2 separate regions of the Mus musculus genome follow, and region 2 is reported to be linked to region 1. Evidence: microRNA targets listed by miRTarBase, many of them from high-throughput screens and not tested one by one. Region 1 holds a microRNA gene; the other region holds the end of a gene's coding sequence.
Evidence for each region. Region 1 holds the annotated microRNA mmu-miR-466f-3p (CAUACACACACACAUACACAC, at 1,611-1,631, opposite strand). A microRNA usually pairs through its seed, bases 2 to 8, with sites in the 3' UTR of a target mRNA and lowers its output. Matches are read on the target gene's strand: a 7mer-m8 pairs with bases 2 to 8, a 7mer-A1 pairs with bases 2 to 7 and ends in A, and an 8mer does both.

Region 2: miRTarBase lists Tfcp2l1 as a target of mmu-miR-466f-3p. Seed matches in the 3' UTR shown: 7mer-m8 at 1,770-1,776, 7mer-m8 at 2,249-2,255 and 8mer at 4,007-4,014.

Annotation. Positions count from the first base shown.
Region 1 is chr2:10,470,099-10,473,637 of GRCm38, reverse strand. Mir466f-3 (microRNA 466f-3) reads right to left here and starts at 1,685; the gene lies at 1,592-1,685. All of the region lies in intron 10 of Sfmbt2 (Scm-like with four mbt domains 2), which reads right to left. Mir669d-2 (microRNA 669d-2) reads right to left here and starts at 1,994; the gene lies at 1,909-1,994. It overlaps Mir297a-2 (microRNA 297a-2), which reads right to left and starts at 1,384; the gene lies at 1,295-1,384. It also overlaps Mir466o.
Region 2 is chr1:118,676,273-118,680,808 of GRCm38, forward strand. It overlaps Tfcp2l1 (transcription factor CP2-like 1), which reads left to right. Exons shown (of 15, transcript NM_023755.2): 15 at 1,116-4,536. The coding sequence ends at 1,162. Among named protein-coding and RNA genes, the nearest start is that of Tfcp2l1, 51 kb to the left of the region's middle.

The DNA of each region.
Region 1 (3,539 bases):
TATGCATGTTCATATACCCACATTTACATGCACACGTACCTATACACATATACACATACACGGGGACAATCACAGAAATTCCAGGCTGTTCTCTAACTCATCATGAAGTTAAACATGAATTTGAACTCCATATTCTCCTCCCTCTGGCAACAATATTCACCTCCTAACTGAGACATAGTTCTGGCCATTCCTGTGAGTATGTGTGCATACAGCTATGTGCATATTCATGTAGAGAAGTGAATATGCACACAGCTATACACACATGCACATTCTTGGAGGGCATCACATGAATCGCATGCTGATCTCTACTCATCATGAATTAAATATGATTTTGAACTCCTCATCCTCCTGACTCTGGCAAGAGTACTCACCTCCTAACTGAGCCATAGCTCTGGCCCAGTACTGCATAAGCTCTAAAGCTCTAAGTCACATACCATTCAAAAGGATATATGAGTGGCATTCCTGTGCGTGCATGCGTGTATATGCATATTCATATAGAGAAGTGAATATGCACACAACTATACACACATGCACATTCTTGATGGACATCACATGAGTCGCATGCTGAACTCTAACTCATCATGAAGTTAAACATGAATTTGTACTCCAGGACCACCTGACTCTGGCAAGGGATTTCACCTGCTGAGTGAGACCTCTCCCTATTCAGTACTGCAGAATCTTAAAACTCTTAGTCACACGTCATTCAAATGGATCGATGAGTTGCATTCATGTTTGTGTGTCTGTGTACATGTCTATGCGTGTGTAGATATGTATATTCATATACACAATCCACACACAGGTACACGCATGTACACATACATGGGGGCATCACATGAATCCCAGGCAGATTTCTAAGTCATCATGAAATAAAGCATGAATTTGACCTCCTGACCTCCTGATTCTAACAAGCATTTTTAATATGATGGGTGATAACTCTCCCTGACCTAGTCACACATAATCTCCAAAGCTCTCAGTCACATAGATTGATGAGTGAGTGCCATTCCTGTGTGTCTATGTGCTCATATGTGTCTTATGTGTGCATGTATGTATATCATATTCACACATGTACATGTACACACACATCAACACATACACACATACATAGGGGCAATCACATGAATGCCAGGATGACCTCTAACTCATCATGCCTTTACCATGACCTTGAACTCCTGATTATCTTGACTCTGGCAAGGGTCTTTACTTGGTGAGTGAATCCTCTCCCTGGCCCAGTCATACAGAATCTCTAAGACTCTAAGACACATATCATTCAAATAGATCGATGAGTGGCAGTTTTGGGTTTGTGTGCATGCTTGTATGGGTATGTGCGTATGTATATGTATACTCATATACACACATGCACATGCACACATACATATACACACAGGCACATACACTGGGGGCATCACATGAATCAGAAGCTGATCCCGGACTCAACATGAAGTTGAGAATGAATTTCGACTCCTGATCCTCCTGACTCTGGCAAGATTTCCACCTTGTGAGTGAGAGCACTCACTGGCCCAGTACTACATAATCTCTAAAACTCTAAGTCACATATCATTCAAATGAATAAATGAGTGTCGTGTGTGTGTGTGTGTGTGTGTGTTGCGTGCGTGTGTATGTGTGTGTGTATGTATACATATATTCATATACACACATGCACATGCACACACACGTAAACACACATGCACATACATGAGGGGCATAACATGAATGTCTGGATGATCACTAACTGAAATTGAGCATGAATATGAACTCCTGATCCTCCTGACTCTGTCAACAACTTTCACCTGGTGAGTGAGACCGTTCATTGACACACTACTGCATAATCTATAAGACTCTAAGTCACATATCATTCAAATGGATCAATGAGTGCCATTCCTGTGTTTATGTTTATGTTTTTGTGTTTCCGTGCATGCGTGTGTATATGGGTGTGTATGTATATGTATATTCATATAGACACATATACATGCACACACAAGTATACACACATGCACATATATAGGGGGCATCACATGAATCCAGGATGATCTCTTACTCCTCATGAAGTTAAGCATGATTTTCAACTCCTATACCTCCTGACTCTAACAAGGGTTTTCACCAGGTGTGTGAGAATTGACACTGGCCCTGTCATACATAATCTCCAAAGGTCTAAGTCACATATCATTAAAATGCATCGATGAGTACCATTCCTACATGTATGTTTGCATGTGTGTGTATATGTGTGTATGTATATGTATATTCACATAAACACATGTACATGCATACACTTCTGCACACATGCACATAAACGGGGGACATCACATGAATCCCAGACTGATTGCTACCTCATCATGAATTTAATATGAATTTGAACTCCTCATCCTCCTGACTCTGGCAAGAGTACTTAACCTCCTAACTGAGACATAGCTCTTGATCAGTACTGCATAAGCTCTAAAGTTCTAAGTCACATACCATTCAAAAGGATATATGAGTGCCATTCCTGTGTGTGCTTGCGTGTATGTGCATATTCATATAGAGAAGTGAATATGCACACAGCTATACACACATGCACATTCTTGTTGGGCATCACATGAATCGCATGATGAACTCTAACTCATCATGAAGTTAAACATGAATTTGAACTCCAGATCCTCCAGACTCTGGCAAGCGTTTCACCTCCTAACTGAGACATAGCTCTGGATCACTACCGCATAAGCGCTAAAGCTCTATGGCACATATCATTTCAAAGGATATATGAGTGGCATTACTGTGTGTGCATGTGTGTATATGCATATTCATATAGAGAAGTGAATATGCACACAACTCTAACACATGCACATTCTTGGTGTGCATCACATCAATTGCATACTGATCTCTAAATCGTTGTGAAATTAAGCATGAATTTGAACTCCTGATCCTCCTGACTCTGGCAAGTGTTTCACCTAGTGAGTGAGACTTCTCCTTGACCCATTTATACATAGCTCTAAAACATTAAGTTACATATCATTCAAATGGATAGATGAGTATCAATTTTGAGTTTGTGTGTGTGTGTGTGTATTTGTGTGTGTCTCTGTGTGTGTGCATGTTGTGTTGGTTAGTTTATATGTGTATATTTATATGCATATATTAACATGCACACATACATATATGCACACATGCACATACATAAGAAACATCCCAGTCTGATTTCTATCTCTTCATGAAGTAAATTTTGTATTTGAACTCTCTCTTCACCTGACTCTGGCAAGTGTTTTTACCTTATGAGTGAGACTATTACTGACCCAGTACTACATAATATTTAAAGCTCTAAATTATATATCATACAAATGGATCAATGAGTGCCATTCATGTGTGTGTGTGTCCATGCATGCATGTATGTTTGTGTGTATGTATATGTATATTCATATACACATATACACATGAACACACTTATGTATACACATATGCACATTCAAGGGGAGACATCACATGAATCCAGGCTGATCCCAAATTCTTCATGAAGTTAAACATGAATTTGAACTCCAGATACTGATGACTCTGGCAAGGGTTTTTACCTGGTG
Region 2 (4,536 bases), not on the chromosome of region 1:
CACCTAGACAGACAGACAGACAGACAGACACACACACACACACACACACACACACACACACACACACACACAAGTGTACACACACATATACACACACACACACAAAATTAAAGGTAAAATAAGTCTTAAAGATCAGGAGACTGGGTTCAGGCTGTTCTAAGACCAACTCCCACCCTGTTCTGGGGACCTAGGCTGTGTGTGTTAGCTTTTTGTTACTGTGACAATGTGTGAGGTTGGTTATTTGGGCTCAGTTTGGGAGGTTTCAGCCATGGCCAGTTAGCCCTGTTGCATTTGGCCCTTTGGCAAGGCAGCACACGAAGGTGTGAGTGTGGTGAGCTGCTCTGTTACCTTCAAGACAGCTGGAAAGTGAAGGGAGAGGAGGGCCAAGGCTCAGTGTTCCCTCCAAGGGCTGATGTCATTTTCTCCCACTTGGCTCCACCCCTTAAAGCTCCCATCATCATTCGCTAGCATAAGCTGGTGACTAAACCTTTTACAACATGGGCCTTAAGATCCTAAATATAGCACAAACAATTGCAGAAAGCCATAGTTTGCCTAAAGCCTCCTCCTTGAGCCTAGGGCTATCTATGGTGAAAAGGCTCTTTGTCCAAACCAGAGTGCCTGGGAAGATCATTCAGTCAATATAGTGCTTGCCATGCAAGCAGGAAGCCTCTAGCTCAGTCTCCAGAACCCATGTTTTGTTATTGTTGTTTGGTTTTGTTTTAAAGCTGGGCATTGGTGGTATGTGCTTGTGATCCATCCTAGCCTGGTGAGACAGAGACAGGCTCACTGGTCAGCCAGCCTAGCTTACTTGGTGAGCTCTAGACCGATGAGAGACTGTCTCAAAACACAGGGTGGAAAAACTCCTAAGGAATGATACCTTTTGGCCTCTGCACAAGTATATGCACACACACACACACACACACACACACAGTAATTGTGTAAACAGATGCCAAAACCTGTGTAGAAAGCCCTGCTTCTGTAAACAGACTCTTCCTTATGAAGTCATTTGAGTGATTTTTGCCTCTGACTTAATACATGCCTTTTGGGACACCCAAATCACACTGTACCAACTCTGTACCTGTGACGCATGCCCATGCCCAGTGTTTCTCTTGCAGCAGAAAGCAATGATGGCTACCACATCATCCTGAAGTGTGGACTCTGAGCAGCAGCGCCTGCACCTGTCCCCTGCCCCATGGATCCCTGGCTGTGAAAGGTGCACCACTGTCAGCTGCTGTCTCACCTGACAAGCTCAGACTAGGAGGGACTCTACCCAGACCAGGAAAGCTACAGACAACCATGGACACAAAGTCTGGTGTACAGAAGAAAGCCAGCGGTTCCCTTCTCCTTTCCTCTTGGCTTTTAGGTTTTTAAGTTTCTTGTTCTGTTTCCTGGGCAGATAGTGGGGATGTGCATCTCTTAAACTCTGAGCCCTGCAGTTGGAGGGTCCTTTGATGTATTGGTCCTTCCTGTCTCCTCTCTTATGTCACCCTGATTCCTGCTTCTTTTTCTTGAGTCACTGGCTTCATGGCTAGCTCTGCCAATCTCACAAGGGCTCCACACACAGTTCTCCTCCTAATACTGACTTCCTTTCTCAGGACCCTGGTAGCCATGTCTCTCCTGTTCTTGGATGACTTGATAAGACTGGAGCTATTTATTTGTGCCTTCCATTTCTTTCTCAGTCGCCTTGTCTCTAAGGATCTGCTACATTCAAGCCCAGAGTCTCTGCATTGACATGGTAGATGGCACAGTGTACCTATGTGACCTCTCATTGTGTATTAGTTCCTTTTCTGTTGCTGTGATAAGATACTCTGACAAAGGCAACTTGATAAAGAAAGGGCTTGTTTTGGCTTAGAGTTTTGTAGGGATTATGGTGGATATTATGGTGAGGAAGGTGCCAAACAGAAAGCTAGCTGATCTCATTTTCATACACGTAGGAAGCAGCACAGAGAGAAAGAGCAAGAGCAGGAAATGGTACAAGCCTTCAAGGACCACCAACCCCAGTGACTTACTTCCTCCAGCAAGACTGCATCCTCTAAAAGCCCCATAACCTCAGCAGACTACATCACCAACTGGGACCACGTGTTCAAATACATAAGCCCATGGGATACATTTCTCATTCAAGCCACACATTTTGCCCATGTGACCTCCCACATTTTCTAGTTAGAGATGCTATGGACTAGGAGATGACATGTGACTTCCTCACCAGGGAAGAGAGGTGAGGACAGAATGATTCCTCATGGACCACTACTGTGTATTCTCATTTCTGTTGAGCAAAGAGTACTAAGAGGTGAAGATTCTGTTATCCAGTGGCCTTGACCATCCATTCTAGACATTTGGGTTGGGGTATGTCTCAGTAGATCCCTCCCTGGCAAGTATGAGGCCCTGGGCACCATCCCAGCGCTACAGCAGGAGGTACTTACTGAATTCTCTTTTTCAGACAACCTCAGCTAACCACTGCTGTTTGCCAAGTGGCCCAGGGGTAGTATGGTGTTTTTTTCATTGCTCATTTAAGATTCTATCATAGGTATATAGATAGGTGCTTTGTCTTTGTTGGCATGGTTGAATTGTTCACTTTTTTTGTTTGTTTTGTTTTTTTCAAGACAGGGTTTCTTTGTTAGCCCTGGCTATCCTGGAACTCACTCTGTAGACCAAGCTGGCCTCGAAATCCGCCTGCCTCGGCCTCCCAAGTGCTGGGATTAAAGGAATGTGCCACCACTGCCTGGCTTGTTCACCTTTCTTAACTCTGGGGGAATTTGAGGATCAGTAGCTATGGTAGACTTAATTCATCTTTATTATGCCCACCCAGTGCTTCAACTCTTTCCTAATCCTCAAGCCATAGTGAGTTACTTCTAAGCTCAAAGATTTGCCAAAGGTTTTGGCAAATATTATTTTACAGGCAGAAAAACTACTCTCACAGGAAAGATGAGCTCTCAGTTCCTTGTCTTTTGAGACATGTGGGTGGGGTTGACAGCTTTATTGAGATGTTGGTGTCGTGAATATATTGGCACAGGCTTTCTGTGGACAGGGTTTCATTTTGGGAATGTGCCTGGTAGAATGGACAGCTCATAAGGTAACTTTTCACCGGTTTGAGAAACTGCCCAGTGTTTCCCACGCAGCTACACGTGTTTGTATTACCACCAGCAATGGAGGATGGTTCTAGTTTCTCCACCTCCTCATCAACATTTGCTGTGATTTCTCATTCTTGCCCGCCTGTCCTCTCTCCCTCCCCCTTCTTCTTCCGTATAGTCCAGCCTGGCCTCGAAGTCACTAAGTAGAAGAGGAAAATTGAACTTCTGATCTTCCTGACTCTGCTTCTTAAATGCTAACAACATAGAAAAGTACCTCCACACCTAATGTATGCGGTGCTGGGACAAAATCCAGGGCTTTGTGCTTGCTAGGCAAGAGCTCTCTCTACCAGCTGAGCCACCTCCCTAGTGGTGACCTGTCTTTTATTACAATATCCTGCTGGTGTCATGCATGTCTCTGGCTAATGATGTTCAATGTCTCTTCACATTGATTGGCCATTTGTATATCTTTGGGAAAATGTCTGGTTATGTCTTGCCTGTTTTTAAATTGGGCTCTCTTCATTGAATTGTACAAGTTGTTGATGAAAATCCTTCATCAGTTTTTCTCCATTCTGCTCCATTCTGTAGGCTGTCTTCACCCTCTTAATGGTTGATGCTCCTTGGGGTGTACATGTTTCTAAATTGGTTGTGCTTAGTAGTATGAACCAGCACTCCCAGTACTCAGCTGAGGCTCCCGAGGCCAGCCCAACCTACATAGTAAGACCCAGTCTCAGAAACAATTGTCATCATTATTTTAATGTGTGTGATGCCTGAGTTACCTTCTGCTGATTGTAGTTTTGATGTGGATACTAAGAAACCATGACCTAATGCAAACTCAGGAAAATCTGTGTTTTCTCCTTAGAATTAAAAACGCTGTTTATTTTTATTTTATGTGCATTGGTATTTTGCACATTGGTATAGTATGTGTGGTTGTGTGTGTGTGTGTATATATATATATATATATATATATGTATATGCACACATACACACAGATCCTTGTAAGGGTGTTAGATCTTCTGGAACTGGAGTTGCAAGCAGGTGTGAGCTGCCATGTGGGTGCTGGGAATTGAAGCTTGGTCCTTTGGAAGAGAAGCCAATGCTCCTAACCCCTGAACCATCTCTCCTGGTCCCTCTTAGGAACATGATTAAAGTTTAGTTGTTACAATGAGTTCTGCTCCAGTCTGAGTTAGTTTTACATATATGATATGTAGTGGGAGAGTCTAGTTTCATCCTTTTACATGTGAGCGTCTACTTATTTTACCCCTAATTACTGAAAGGACTGGAGCTTCTGTAGTCTGGAGACCTCCGATTCCTGGATCTTTGTGAGCACGGCGGGACCATTGCTGATCTCTTGTTCCTTTTACCTTCTTGGTCTGCATTTGGGTCTACTGCTCTTACGGCCACTTCCCTCCTCTCCTCCTGTCAGCAGGACTGGATGATGCCCCTCTGTTCTGTCGTTTTTCCTGGCACT